2 linked regions of the Lonchura striata genome follow. The protein of the gene in region 1 interacts with the protein of each later gene in a biochemical or structural test. Links are inferred from orthologs where the notes say so. Each region holds a gene or a part of one and is shown on either strand. Other genes may lie near its edges.

Evidence for each region.
Region 2: the proteins of BCL2L1 (region 1) and VDAC1 form a complex in vitro, tested with the Homo sapiens proteins (4 studies listed by BioGRID). The link is inferred for Lonchura striata from reciprocal best matches to the Homo sapiens genes BCL2L1 and VDAC1.

The regions. Positions count from the first base shown.
Region 1 is NC_134619.1:7,570,068-7,577,769, reverse strand, and holds the start of BCL2L1 (bcl-2-like protein 1), read left to right. Parts: upstream 1-4,643; 5' UTR 4,644-4,811; intron 4,812-4,909; exon of another isoform or gene 4,910-4,963; intron 4,964-5,377; exon of another isoform or gene 5,378-5,508; intron 5,509-5,752; exon of another isoform or gene 5,753-5,757; 5' UTR 5,758-5,863; coding exon 5,864-6,418; intron 6,419-7,702. UniProt on the Homo sapiens protein: Potent inhibitor of cell death. Inhibits activation of caspases. Appears to regulate cell death by blocking the voltage-dependent anion channel (VDAC) by binding to it and preventing the release of the caspase activator, CYC1, from the mitochondrial membrane.
Region 2 is NC_134617.1:9,728,443-9,735,378, forward strand, and holds the start of VDAC1 (non-selective voltage-gated ion channel VDAC1), read left to right. Parts: upstream 1-3,935; 5' UTR 3,936-4,044; intron 4,045-6,936. UniProt on the Homo sapiens protein: Non-selective voltage-gated ion channel that mediates the transport of anions and cations through the mitochondrion outer membrane and plasma membrane.

The sequences.
Region 1 (7,702 bases):
CAAAGTAGGGCCCAAAGAAGGCAAACATAAGAATTAGAGCCAAAACCAACTGTAACTGAGCTCGAGACATGGCTGGAATCAAATGCTTTCCTACCGCCCTTAATCAAGATAGAATTTCTGTCAACACTTTAGACTTTTTTAAAAATCAAATGCGTCATCTGCATTCTCCCCTCACCCTCTCCAGTCAGAGTCAGAGCTCTGGGCATCATGTTTCACAGCTACTTGTGCCCACTGCTACATTGCTGCAGTTTGCAGCTTTTTACTGAGTAGAGCCCATATTCCACAGTGTCACCACCCTCATCATCGACCTCATTGCTGACCACTCTCTCTCCCCTCTATCCCAGACAGAAGAGAATAGTCAGGAAAAGAAAAGGATTGTATCGCTGCCTCAGTTTCATACTCTGTTTCTTGAAAGAGACAACTGGGAGATAACAGTTATTGTGACTGCGCTCCAGAAAGTTCATTCAGTCAGATGAACTCATGACATCTGCTTCTGAAATCCCCACATATCCTCCAAGTCCTGCCCGGAACAGGACTGAGGGTGAAGCAGCAGCTCACTGAGAGGCATCCTGCTCCTCCACCCACCGACTCGGGCTGGGACAGGATCAGCCAGGAATGCCCCGGTGATTTATCACTCCTGTGCCCACCATGAGGTATCTGCAATGCCAACAGGCTCTGCCAAGCACAGCCCAACACCCGCTGCCCACTCCCTGCAGGCATTTTAAAACACACAGTTGTGATTTTGACAGCTCAACCACATTTATCTCAATCCAAAATTCTTTCTCTCCACTGCAGCACTCATCCACCGGAAAGGAGGCGTGGAAATTTTTCCTCATTAATAGGGACTTTCCCTAATTAGCAGGCACTGTGTGCATTTCCCAGGCGTGATTACAGGCACGCTGTAATCCTACACAGCTCGGCGTGGACTTAAAGCATGACCTTGCTCTCCCCCACATCCATCACCTCCTGTGTCGACACGGGTGTCTGCAGCGAGCCAGCCGGGGAACCCTCACCCCCGTTCTGCAGGATCGGCTTTCACCTGGTTTGCAGAGCTGCTGAGGCAGGAAAGGAAGATCTGATCTTCTCGCCTGCAAAAAGACCCCAAATTCCTTCTATAAAGTGACTACTTAATTAAAATCTTCATTTTCTTTCTAGGTCTCCTCTCTCACTGACCTAAAAGTGCCTCCAGAGCAGCACAGCTGTATCCACAGGGAGGAATAGGCAGTGGGTTCCTCTAGACATCAGGTTTCTTTTGAGTAACTACACTTTGGCACGTTCCAGAAGAGTGCCTTGGCATGGTTTAGATTAGTTAGCTTTGAAAAAGGATTACAGTAAATTGGAACAAGCATTCCTATCCCAGAATAAGACTGATCCAACAGCAAGTGCAATAGGTATTTTGGAATAACTTCACACCTCGCTGTAATCCAAATTAGCTTTAAAATTCTGACACAATTCCATCACAGATGTGTTCAGTGTGTTTGTCTCACTGAAATTGTGAATTTTGTTCCAACAGCACAATCTGCCTGGACAAAGAAGCCTCCTAGCCATTCAGGCCATGGTTGGAGATAGGATGCAGCATTCCAACATGAGAAATCAAGGTCAGAGGGAGAGAAAATGGAGGAGTGTGGGAGAGTAGCAAGGACAGGATAGTGATAGGGACACCAAAAGGTTGCAATAAGACAAGTGGGAATGGCTTCAAACTAAAAGAGGAGAGGTTTAGATTGGATATTAGGGAGAAATTCTTCCCTGTAAGGGTGGTAAGGCTCTGGCAAGGGTTGCCCAGAGAAGCTGTGGCTGTCCCTGGAAGTGTTAAAGGCCAGGTTGGATAGGGCTGGTCCAGTGTCTCTGCCCAGAATGGTGATGGGAGTTTGGAACAAGATGAGCTTTAAGGTCCCTTCCAACCCAACTCAGTCTGGATCCTGAGGAAGGCAGAGTTCTGCTCTTTCTTGCCACCTTGCAATGTAGATAAGGCCCTGGTGAACTGGAGATGATGCCTTATCACCACACACCACTGGAACTTCACAAGTGACAGATGTTACTTATGGCAAATCCTAACAGGATCAGAAAGCACAATAAACAATAACAAACACACAAGAAGCTAGTCTAAGTTACATCAGCAGATAAACACAAAGGCAGCCGATCCACATGCCTCAGAACCCAAAAGAGGAAACCAGGAATGAACAAGAGAAGCTTCCCCAAGGCCGAGGCAGCTGCATGGGAATGTGCTCCAGCAATTCCAGGGCCTTCTGCTGGGCTTCAACACCAGCTGCCACTTAAACAGAGGAGGCTGCACTAACCAGGCAGCTTTAATTCAGCCTGGCAGCTTCTTCATTGTCCTGCACCTTAGAGTTTTCTGTTCTTTTTATTGGGATAATAATCCAAAGGTCTTGGATGCTTTCCAGGGTTTAACATGTAAGTTGGAGCATTAGAAATGGATTTACAACAGCCTAGCGAGAACCATCCCACCACAAAGCCATCATCTGAACTCCCTCTGCGTGACACTGACAGCCTCAGAAAGTCACCCTTCATCCTTGCTTTTCCCTGAGCAGGGTGGAAGTGAACACTTCCAACACACTCTGGATCTACAGCTTCTCCCTCCTCTCTTGTGCCCCTTACTCAAAGATCAACTAGGCTTTTCTGCAGCACACAATCAGCAATGGATCCACTACCTCCCAGAACGCTGCTGTTCCATCATTTAATTCTCAAACTGGGAGAAAAGGCCTTTAACTCTCCTCAGGTGAGAGCTGAGCCCGCAGAAAGCTCCGCAGACCACCCCGACCGGCAGCCAAGGCAGGGGCGAAGGGCAGGCACAGCCTTTGCTCTGCTAACGGCCCAGACCCGCCCCCATTCCCAAAAATAAACAGCCCTGACATCTCGTGCTCCCTAAAAAAGATCCCACAAGTTTCAGAAGACATAAAGATGGTACATTCTAAGAATAGACGTTCAGGGAAAATAAAATTATTTTTAGCTACCATAACCTCAACTAATTGTTACATTAAGTTGAAGGTCTTCAAGCTTAAAAAAAGCCCCAGATAAAAATAGTACCCCGAATGTTTTTTTCTGATACTTGGGCCAGGTTTTGCCTGGTTTGCTTCCCTCCTTTTCCTGGGAAGGGGGATTTGGACTGAGACATTACAGAGCTTTCCGCCGTGAAATACACTGTTTCATCAGATTGCGTGACTGTTGAAAAACTTAGAACTTTATTTCACTGCCGAGGCACCCACCCCACCGTAAGGCACACGCCGGGAGCTCCGGTACCGCGATCCCCGCCAGGGGAACGGGAACCGCCCGCCACGGCGGCTCCTCCCGCTGCCGCCCGGGGGCACCGGGCTCGGCTTCCCCGGACAACACGGTGTTCGTAACCAGCCCCCGGGGCTCCGTTACGAGCCCGCCCGCCAGACCGCGATAGCGGCTCCGGCCACGGGCTGAGCGCCCGGAGCCGCCTTCCGTCGCCGTTTCCCAGCCGAGCCCTCGGCCCCGTTACCAATACCTGGGCTCGGAGTAGGCCTGGGGAACAGCCGCAGCGAGAGAACGACCAGATATGGAGAAGGGCTGCGGGTTGGGAAGGAGAGGCGAGGCCGGGGGTGCCCGGCCGGCGCCCCGCACTCACCTCAGCAGCGCCGCCGCCACTCCGCGCGGCGCCTCTGCCGCCGCCGTTAACGGATTTCAAACAGGACCCCGCAGTCCGAACTCACCAATCAGCGCCCGGCACACGCCCTTTGAGGCGCGCTGATTGGCTGGACCCCTTCAGGACCCGGATAATCAGACCCCAAGCAACGCAGTTGCGCTCTCCCTGCAAAGTCTGACGGGAAATGTAGTACGTGCTTGCACAGCGCCACAATGACCGGGCGAGAACCGAACCACAACTCACATAACGCACTGCGGGACCTAGTAGACCAATCAGAAAAGGGGATGCCTTGAGTGTCGTTCCGGGTGGCCTATCAGCGACTGGCGGGCGGGACCCCGGAGCCAGTGTCAGCCGGTACGGCCGCGGGGCCGGGCAGGAGCCTGCCGGAGCCGGGCTCAGGTACGGCGGCTGTATCAGTGTCCGCTGCCCGGCTTCCACCCGCTGTTCCTCAGCAGATCAGCCTTCGGACTGCTGGGCCCGGGAAAGGCGGCTTCCGCCGTCTGGTAAGCCCGGCTAGGTTTCTCGATGCTGTGAGGACAAAGTGCCATTTGCGCAGTGGCGTTTTCGACCCCAAGTAGTGCATAATCTTCCCCGCAGTGCTGCAGAGGGATGGGTAGCCAGCTGTTAACGGCGGGGCAGGCCCCTGCTGCCACAGTCGCTTTCACAGCTTCGGCACTACCCCCATAAACCTCCCCTCACAATCCCAGCACGGGCTCCCTGAGCACTGTGGAGACACAAAACACCCCACGTTAATCCCGGAGTGCTCTGAGGGGTTTGCAGCCGTGTCAGCGGCAGGGCCGTGTCCGCAGGGCGCGGCGAGAGCGGAGGCCCGAGCTGCCACCGCCGCGGCCGGCAGGGGGCGCCGGAGCTCCGCCCTCCGCCCGGCACATTCGCGCATGCGCACCGGCCCAGCCGGCGTGGCGCGTGCGCGCCGTGCCCCCGCGCAGTCCAACCGACGCTCTTCGCCCAGCCTCAGAGCGCTGTGCGCATGCGCACCGCCCCTCTGCTGCCCCCTCCCACCCTACCGCACCCCCCCGGCCGCTCGGCGGGCGATGTGGAAAGGATCCGGGGACTGCTGAGCGGGCCGAGCCCCGGCGGGGCTCCCGGCGACCTCCGGCGTCGCTGCCAGCCGGGCCCGCCCAGCAGAGCCGGGAAGGACGCGGACCCTCAGTCGGGCGCTGAGGTGAGGGGCGGGGTAGGGTGAAGCTTGAGTGACGCGCGGCTCGGCCAAAGGGAGCGGCCGCGGCCGGGCCCCGCCCCTCGCGGCCGCTGATTGGCTGGCGTGTCGGCCGCGCGGGCGCCCTGTCGGCCCTCGTGCGCGGCCCCGCCCCCCAGGTACGGCGACCGGTGGGGCCGTCCCGGGGCCGGGGGGGCGGTGCGGGGCTCCGGGGGACGCGGTCCGGTGGGGGGGTGGGGGGCAGTCTGCTGCTCGGGAGGACCGGGTACCCCCTGCGGCGCTCCCGCCTGCCGCTGCCCGGCGTGTCACCGTCCCGGCCCCAGCGGCTACGCGCCGCTAACCGTGACTGGAATCGCTCCCGTAGGGACGCGAGGCCGTGCGGCGGCTCCCGCGGTGCCGAGCGCTCGCCGGCTTTCAGCGGTTTATGCTCTCCGCCTGCGAGGGGAGAGGGGCTTCGGGGTGGCGGGGGGCTGCGGTGACCATCAAACCGGGCCGCCCCGGGGCTGCCGTGGTCCTTGGGTAGCGCTGCCCGCCCGCTGCCGTGGCTAACGCCGGCGGAGGGGGCGGGGGCGCCGGGCCCTTTAACGGGCGGGGCGAGGCGGGGGCGGTGCTGTCGCGTTCCGGGCCGACCCGAAGCTCCAGCAGAACAAGAACCGCCTCCGCCCCGGCCCGCAGCCGGCCTGCCAGGCGCAGCCCGCACCCGGTGAGATCTGGGGTCTGCTCGGAACGAGCTTGTGGGGGGTCCCCGGGGCTCAAGGCTGCTTTCCGGGGAAGGGGGTTGGTTGTGGTCGGTTCTCTGTGCAGCTTCAATCTGGTGGCCCTGAGCCTCGGCGTAGAGCTGCGGGGTGATCTCAGTATAACGATAAGCTATCGGTGGTAATGGCGCGGGTGCATCTAAGAGCTGTGGCATTAACCGTTTCGGTGCCTCTCTCCTCATCTGTGCTAAGGTCAGATGCTTCCATCGGTCGCGAGGAAGAGGAGTGGAGTCGGGACCTGCTAAGTGCTGATCAGCTTGTGCTCCGGACCATGGACTCATTGAGGGCGTCCCAGGTGTGAAAATGTACAGCAGTAACCGGGAGTTAGTGATTGACTTTGTTTCCTACAAGCTCTCACAGAAAGGATACAGCTGGAGTCAGCTGGAAGAGGAGGATGAGAACAGGACTGACTTTGCAGGGGAGGAGGACGAGATGGACGGGGTCCTCAACGGGAGCCCCTCCTGGCACGCGGCCACCAGCCACATAGTGAATGGAGCCACCGTGCACCAGAGCAGCCTCGAAGTCCATGAGATCCGTCGAGCAGCCGATGTGAGGCAGGCACTGAGAGAGGCAGGGGATGAGTTTGAGCTGAGGTACCGGCGGGCGTTCAGCGACCTCACTTCCCAGCTCCACATCACTCCCAGCACAGCGTATCAGAGCTTTGAGCAGGTAGTGAACGAACTGTTCCGCGATGGAGTGAACTGGGGCCGCATCGTGGCTTTCTTCTCCTTCGGAGGAGCCTTGTGCGTGGAGAGCGTTGTTAAGGAGATGAGGGTATTGGTGAAACGCATCGTGTCTTGGATGACCACGTACTTGACCGACCACTTAGATCCCTGGATCCAGGAGAATGGCGGATGGGTAAGATCACCTCTCTGTGCTGGGGCTGGCTGCCCAAGCCTTCCCTTGCTCCAGGCTGGCAGTGGAGCTGGTCAAGCTGGAGTGCAGCTCCCTGCAATGTATATGCTAGAGCTTGTCCTACTCCTTGCAGGGAGAATAAAGGGGTGTGTGGTCTTGCCTTCTGTGCTCTAAACACTGTCCCAAGAGGGCCAACGCACCGTGTTGACACAGTCTGTGCTCAGATATGTCTTTCTCCATCCCTCCTTTTTCTCCTTCTCCCTGGATGTTATGTAAAAGACCTGTTTTTCCAAGAGCCTTTGGAAATCTAATGTCATCCAAGCTTGTTCTTCAAGCAGAGCCATGGCTCTGGGGCATGTTCTTGGTGTCATTAACAGCAGGGAGTGGAGCTTCCTCCTCTCAAAGCCAGCGTTGTGGTGGGCTGGCTGGTGGTTTGCTGAGGTAACAGCTACTTCTTCATTCTGGAAACAGCATTTGCCTTGCTCATGGTGAAGTGAATCCCACAGCAGATCCCGGGGGGTGGGTGGGCTTCTAGGACTGTCTGAGCTGGTGTGGTGGGAGCCAGAGCTGAGGTGGAGGCAACCTCTGTGCTGGGGAGCTCTAAGCCTGCAGCTGCTTTTCCCTTGGCAGGGAGCAGTGCTCCCAGCTGCCCCAGCAGCAAACCCTGGGAGCTCTCAGTGGTGAGGTATTAACATGAATAAGCATTTCTTCAGGAAGCATTCTTGAAATGCCGGGTCCGGCTGTGCGGTGCAGCCTGGGACTGCCGGCGGGAGGTATATGACCTACAGATGTCTGAGTTTTCATTTGGCTTCTGCATCTTAGTGATTCCCTGCTGGTGTAACCTTTACCGGTTCCCATTGGAAAGAGTTCATGCTGTCAGGCATTGGCATCTAAACAGTGGGGAATTGCCTCCTTGCTGGGAGCTGAGGCCTCTTGGCCCCCTTCAGCTCACGGTCCATTGGCAGAGCCCAGCATTTTGGGAAGGGGACAGGAGCCTTTGAGCCCAGTGCTGTGTTCTGTGCCCTCCTCACAGAGAAGAGGCTCTCCCCAGCTCCCCGTGCCTGGCCAGCAATGCTGGGGACCCCAGAGATGAAGGGGAGAGCTGGTGCACCCAGGGAGAGGGAGGTAGTTCAGGAAGACTGAAAGAATTCCAGGAATGTGACCGCCCTGGGGCACTGCCTGGGTGGGGCTGCTCAGGCAAGGAGCGGAGCTTGGTTTCGATTAGTAGCCCGGGATCTGCTGGCCATTTCATCTGGCTGTATGTGGCCCATTAGCTCTCTCATCCTG
Region 2 (6,936 bases), on another chromosome or scaffold:
GATGCTAGTGCTCATTTGCAGAGACCAGCAGCAGCCCACTTACACTGGCCTGGGTAAAAATGTTTATTCTGGCACAGAGATGCTCTGTGGAGCTGTGTAGGCATTCCCAGTTCAGGGTTTTCTGCAGTGGAAACAACCTGTCTGACATGAGCACAGCAGGCAGTGAGGGCTTGGCTCTGAGCAACACAGCCTGGCTTGAGTTTATCAGTGTAAGGGCATGAAGATATGTTTACATAGTGTGATACCCAGCAGCGAGGCATCCTTGCTTATTTTATGATTCCATCAGCATGTTCTTGACTGATGATGAATGGATTCCTTGCAGGTTAACAAGCTGAAAATGTTTTTGTTATGAAAGAGAGCCAAATCAAACTTTATTGAACAAATACATCTTGGATCTCTGGCTAGTGAGTTTTTCTGCTGTTCAAACATGTTATGTGATGTGAATGAAATTGCAGTTGAATTAGACTTAGCTGTTCATGTAGAATTCACAAGCTGCATTTTTTTTTTTTTTTCCTCACAGCTTTATTTTAGGCAGGTAAGTTATTTTTGGAGGAAATGACAGTTTTGAACAATTTGGCTATGTAAAAGTGATTATTGAAAATAGTATTTACTGGTCCCATTTTATGAAGAAATTGAATCAGTAGCATACTTGGAAATGCAAAAGGGCTGATTCTTCCATGCTTCCCAACACTAACTCCTGAATAAAACACTTGTTTTGTGGTTTGCTTTGTAAAGATGTGCCCTGTCAGGGAGCACAGGGCACAGCTCCTGCAAGCCCAGCCCCAGGACTGTCACCAGAGCTGAGTGCAGCCCACAGTTTGGTACCTGCAATGACTCTACTAACTTTGATCTATTCCCAGCTAATTTGGTATGAATAGTATCAGAACCAGGGTTATGTCTATATCCATTAGTGATGCAGAACAGAGCTTAAAAATAATCTTCCACTGACATGCAGATTTATATAATGAAAGATGGGGCAATTGGAGATTTCTCCAGCAAACTGGTGTTAAACAAGCTGCTCTGAGTTCTCAAGACCTAAAGCCTGTGATGGAAAAAGAACATTTAGACAGATCCTGTATGTGAATGATTTGTGGAATTATTGTTAGTCAAATCTATTATGATGCACTCTGTTCTATTTTCACCTGTTAAAATAAATTAAGCTGTAGCATTACTAAAAACTAAGAACTGCCAAGATAAAAGAAGGAACTGACACATAGAGCATTTAGGAGATTTCTTATACTGTAGAAGGAATTTGTAAAATTTAAACTGAAGTCACAAGCACAGATTTTCTCCATTAAGAACATTTAGTGTGATTCTCCTGTTCTTCTGGCACTCCCCAGGATAATCTACAGTTTTTAACCTGTAGGAAAAATAGAGCCCAAGAGAGCAGACAGCACTGATGCTCAACTCCATATGAGGAGATTTGCTGCCATCTTTTGGTAGATGTGTGTTCTGGAAATTAAAGAAAAATTATCTCTCACAGATACGAAACACTTTGTCCCTCTGCTCATTCTTAACCCACTTGCAGCATCAGCCCCTGGAGGGATTTAAAATTGTGTAGACATGACATTTAGGGACAAGGTTTAGTGGTGGACTTTGCAGTGCTGGGTTAACAGTTGGACTTGATGATCTTCAAGGCGTTTCCAATCTAAATCATCCCATGACTGTGATTCTGTGCACTCAGCCTCTACTGCAGAGGCAGCCTGTGAAAATTAATCTCGGCCAATGATACTCCAAGGAGCTCCCAAAAACCCTGTGCGTGCCTGTGGGGCTGGGAGGGCTCAGTGCAGGGCAGGGGCTGGGCTGGTTTCTTCATGGTCTGGCTGCTCAGAGAAAATCTGTAGGGAACAGGCTGCAATCTCTGCATGTTTACAAGTAATAAAATACTTATTGATGCCCAGAGGTAATAAAATAATATATTTGATCATGTGGGGCAGCAGGAGGTTGATGCATGGGGAGGGAGCAAGGCTGGGAGATAGTGCTCTAAAAATCACCCTCATTGCTATCAGATTTACCTTTGCAGAGGGCAAAGAGCTGAGGCTGCACTTTGGCAGGGGCAGGTTGAGGAGCTGCTGCTCAGGGTGAAAGTGCACCCTTGTGACCTGGTCAAAGGGATGTTGGGGAATGTCCTGTGCCCCTCCTCCCCTCCAGGGTCCTGCCTCTGCACCAGCAGCCTCCTCACTTCCCTTGCTCCTCTGACTCCTGGGGGAGGAGGTTCAATGCACCCCAGCAGAAAGCTGCCCACTGGTTTTTTGCTGGGCTACATTTTTTCATGGGACAGTGAGTGAAATCCAGAGCAGGTTTTGACAGGCCCCAGGATGCAGGAAAAGAGGGAAGGTACCAGCTTCTGCCAGAGAGAAAACTGAGAGGGTGTTGAGAGCTGGCACTTCACCCTGACTGCAACTCAGTGCTCTGGTTACAACACCCACACTCGTAGTGGTGCCTGGATCAACAAAATGACTGTGGTTAGAAGAACTTTCCAAATTTGAAAGAGGCCTCTTGTTTCCGTGGGTTCCTACCCTGGTGGTAGGCTGCACACTTTATTTTAATGTGGATTTGGTATCCAGCACAATTCCTTCAGCCTTAGCTGCCTCAGCTGCCTTTCTAAGGTCAATATGTGGCCACACACAATCCTTTCCCCTCTACCACCCTGTCATTCCTGAGATACCACTGAATTCCACAAGCCACTTCATTTTTTTATATACTTCAGTTCAACATTAAGTTCCTTGCAGGGTTTATTTAGTTGGAACCCTGACCAAAGTTCCCAAGTGCTGTGTGTGTGCTCAGCTGCATGAGTCCAACCTTGCTGCTGGGCTGTGCCAGAGCAGGCACCACGCACATGATGGGGTACAGCCCTGCCACGGCTGTGGGAGCAGTGCCTTTCAGAGAAATGCTGTTGGGAAAGCAAAGGTATGAGCCAGCTAAGAGCACAAGCAGGGAAACTTCCTACTCTCGCCATCCATTGACGCTGTGCAAGGGAGAAAAAGCAGGAAAGAACTAATTAAAAACCAAACCAAAACAATGTTCTCATGAGTGGGATGTAGACTCTCAGCAATGATTCTTTTTTTGATACAGATATCCCTTGCATGGTGGGGGCAGAAGGGTGACCATCAGCAGTTTCCTGGCTGAGATGATTCCCCTGTTTGTCTTGTGGGTGATGCTCTGTGTGTCCCAGGGACCTCCAACAGTGCAGGACTGGGTTGATATCTCATCTTGAAAGTAGCCCAGTTCCACCTCTGTTCCCTCTGATAGCAGATCACTCCCTGCCTGAGTGTTTTGTTACCAGAAGAGTGTTGCTCTGGACCCAGTCCAGCTTCCCTGTGAGCTGTGAGGGCCGATTTGTGTATCTGAGGGAGAGTTAGGAAAGCTGTCAGCTCCCTAATTCATGAGAGCCTCTCCACGCCCCACAGCCAGTCCCCACGGGGGGAGTCATGCTGCCTCGCTGGCCCCTGGCCCCCTGACAGCTCCTTTGGACACTCACCAGATATCACACACAGCCTCACCTGCTCACAGATCCTCTTTCAAATCCTCCCTTCCTCCTTTCCCACCACTCTTGCCTCAACCAGGATACGGGGAATTGAAATTTTAACAAGACGGGGAGTTAGAATTAAATTCTAAATTGAAATCTAGGCAATTTTAATTTATCCAATTCAGACTAAATGGGGACTTTCATCGAATCAGTATGGTTTGGCTGGGAAGGGTCCTCTAAAAGTCACCTCGTCTGGTTTCCCGCAGAGCCCGGGATTCTGGTACCCAGGCGGCTGCAGATGCCCCGGGTGGCGCCGGGGCTGGCGCTGGCGCATCCCGCGGATGCCGCAGCCGCGGGCCGGTGCGGGGAGGCGCAGCCGGGCGCCCGGGGAGCGGCCCCGCAGCCCGGGCCGCCCCGCCCGCCGCGCCGCGCCGCCCGCCGGTCCCGCCCGCCGGTCCCGCCCGCCGTCACGCACCGCCGCCGTCGCAGAGCCCGGGGCGGCACCGGGCAGGGGCAGCCGCCGCCGGAGGAGGCCGAGGCGGAGCGGAGCGCAGCTGCCGCCGCGGCGGGGGCAGGTAGGGCTGTCCCGGGAGGGGGTCCCGGGCCGCGGGGCGATGCGGGCGGCGGGAGCGGGCCCGGGGCACGCGTGGGAGCGGGGGCAGCCCGCAGCGCCCCGGGCGGGTTTGCCCACCCGCGGCCCGGCGGAACGGGGATAAAACGGTGTCCTTACGTAATGCCGAGCCTTGCGACACGGGGGCCTGCTGGGGAGGCGCGGGTGGCCGGGACATCGCGGCCGGCGGGAGCGGGGCGCGGCGGGGTCCCGGCGCCGCATCCCGGGATGCCGCCGGGCGCAGCGGGGCCGAGCTCAGCGAACCGGGCGCTGCCCCGTGCCGGGAGGAGAAGGGTCACAGGGCCACGGCAGCCGTGCGGCTCCTGACGAGCGCTTCAGCGTGCGGGATCGTTCTGCTCCTTCCCGGGAAGCAAAGGTCGAAGGTGGCCGTACCTGCCCGCGTTTAGCACCTTCTTGGCTCTGGCATCCTTTTCACCTCGCTCTTCTGCACCCCCGGCATCCTTCTTGCGGGTTGGCAAATTCGTTCTGATATATACCAAAACCTCAAGTCAAGCAGGCAAACTGATTTATTCTTCCATTTCATTCTGCTTATTCTCAGAATAGAGGTTTGTACTTGTGGGGAATTATATTAGTTTAAAAATCCCCATGTTTCTGCTTTCTGTTCCTGAGCACTGTGGGGCCACAGCAGCAGCTGCCTCAATTCTGCCTTGTCACAGCCCTTGCTGGGAACAACTCTTGCTGGAGGGGGGAAAAGTCTTTGACTCATTCAGTCTTTAGGTATTTGCAAAATAATAAAAAACGGTAACAAATTTTTCAGAAAATGGAGTGGGGCTGACTCATCACCAGTGACCAATGCAGGGTTGCATCTCTGGGGAATATTTATAGTGATTCCAGCAGAAACAGATCCCAGCTTGTTTCTCAGATGCCTTAGTGAGAACAGAGGTGTGTTGCAGTTTGTTTTGTTGGGTACAGTGGATGGTTGAATAATCACCTTTCTCATGATGTTTCACCTGTGAATTTTTGTCAGAAATAGGCTTTTGCACTATTGCAATGACATTCCAGAATAATGCCTCCCTCCAGCACTCTCCATCAAAGGTTTGCACTGATCCACCGTTTCTTCCTGCCCGCATTTTGGGGTTTGTGTATGGGTGTGTGAAGGTATGGGGGACATCACTGTTGGCTGGTGTAGCAGCAGGAGAATGTCCCCAGCCCTGGCACTGTCAGGATGGAAGCAGGATGCACAGCTCAGGCTCTTCTTGGCATCTGCTGCAGGTAGGGAAAAACACATCCACCATTGGTAGCAGATGCTCCTTTTCTGTGTGAGCTGTCACATTGTGCTGGAAAACAAAATTCCATTTTAATTACTCATCCCCATTGATATGGTGCTGGGTGTTCCTGCAGTGGGGCTGGGAGCAAGGGACATGTCCCTTCCTGCATGCGCTGGCCTGGCCCCTGCCATGCTGGGGGCATGGGGTGGGACAGCAGCACTGTTCTTCTCCTCCTCCACAGGTATTTAACAGAAACAGGTTAATTTAACATGTGGGGATGTGGTTCTGTGTTCTTCCCTTGCAGTGTAGTAACTACAGTAGCTACAGCAAGCTGCAACACCCCCTAAGTTAATCAATACTTACATGTCATAGTTTAATAAGGGGTTGCCATACAACACTGCAGATCCTAATGTGTACCCATACAATTAAGAGCTGGCTGTCTCTTTCTTTAATTCCATAATTAGCATAGCCTAAATAATAATATTTACATTTGCTTTTAAGGGGTTTATTTCCTTTATGCTCCTCTCTTTATTGGGCTACAGAGGTACTGCATAAACCCATCTTTAAATCTGCACCTTCATGCATGCAGCTCCAGAGCAAAACTCCAGCAGGAGGGCTGGCATCCTGTGAGTGTCACAGGGATGCTGCATGGCCTTATAAAGCCTACAACAAAAGAAATTGTGGACTCCTAATCTTAAATTTTGAGTCATAATGGTGCATGGATTATATGGTGTTGGCATAGTAGCAAGTAGGGACAAAAAGTATTGTTAAGTATTGTATTTAATAATGCCGAGTATTTACAAACCACGTGCTTTTACTGGCTTCTCAAAAGCCTTGTGAATGTGCCCAACTTGATGTTTGACCTCTGTGTGACTGCGCATGTATTTAGGGGTAAGTGTGCTCTTAAATCTCTGCACAACGAGGCTGCTGAACCTGATCTGAAGCAGACTGTGGGCATGACTTGAAGGGATTTGGGATCTGGACCATAAAACCCAATGTGTGGAGCCAGCATGAGCTCCTCTGGGAGCCTGGGACGTTGTAGAGGGACGCTGGTGCCAAGTGGAGCTGGTTCCTCCAGGCAGCCATGAGACGTGGAGGGAGCTGGGCCCTGCTCTGAGAGCAAAGCCCCATCCTCTGAGGTGTATTGACACCACAACAGACATTGGCTGGGAAATGACACTGCCAGGCTGGGGGCCCAGAAAGGCACCTAAAAGCTGCTTCATTCCAAGGAATAATGTTTCCTTTATTGAAGGAGATAAATGAAAAATAAATTAGTATTCTTTTTAACGTTGAGGCAAAAGACCCTCATGTGGGTTTTTTCCCCCATGCAGACAGACTCTATCTGGTTGCTGTCTGTCCCTCCCAGCTGTTCCTAGCAGCTGTAATGTGTCCACCTTGCAAGTAGCAGCTTTTGCTACTTGCAAAAGTAGCAAGTACTATGCTACTTTCATGCTTTTGGAGACAGGGAGCTGGAATGTTCAGAACTACTGGTACCATCAAGAAATGGTACATGAGTTCAGATTTATTTGGAATAAAATGTGGCTACATAAGGACAAATCCAACCTTTTACTTCCTTAGCTTTCAATCTGATAGACTTCCCTTGTCTTCATAGGAATTTCATTCTTATA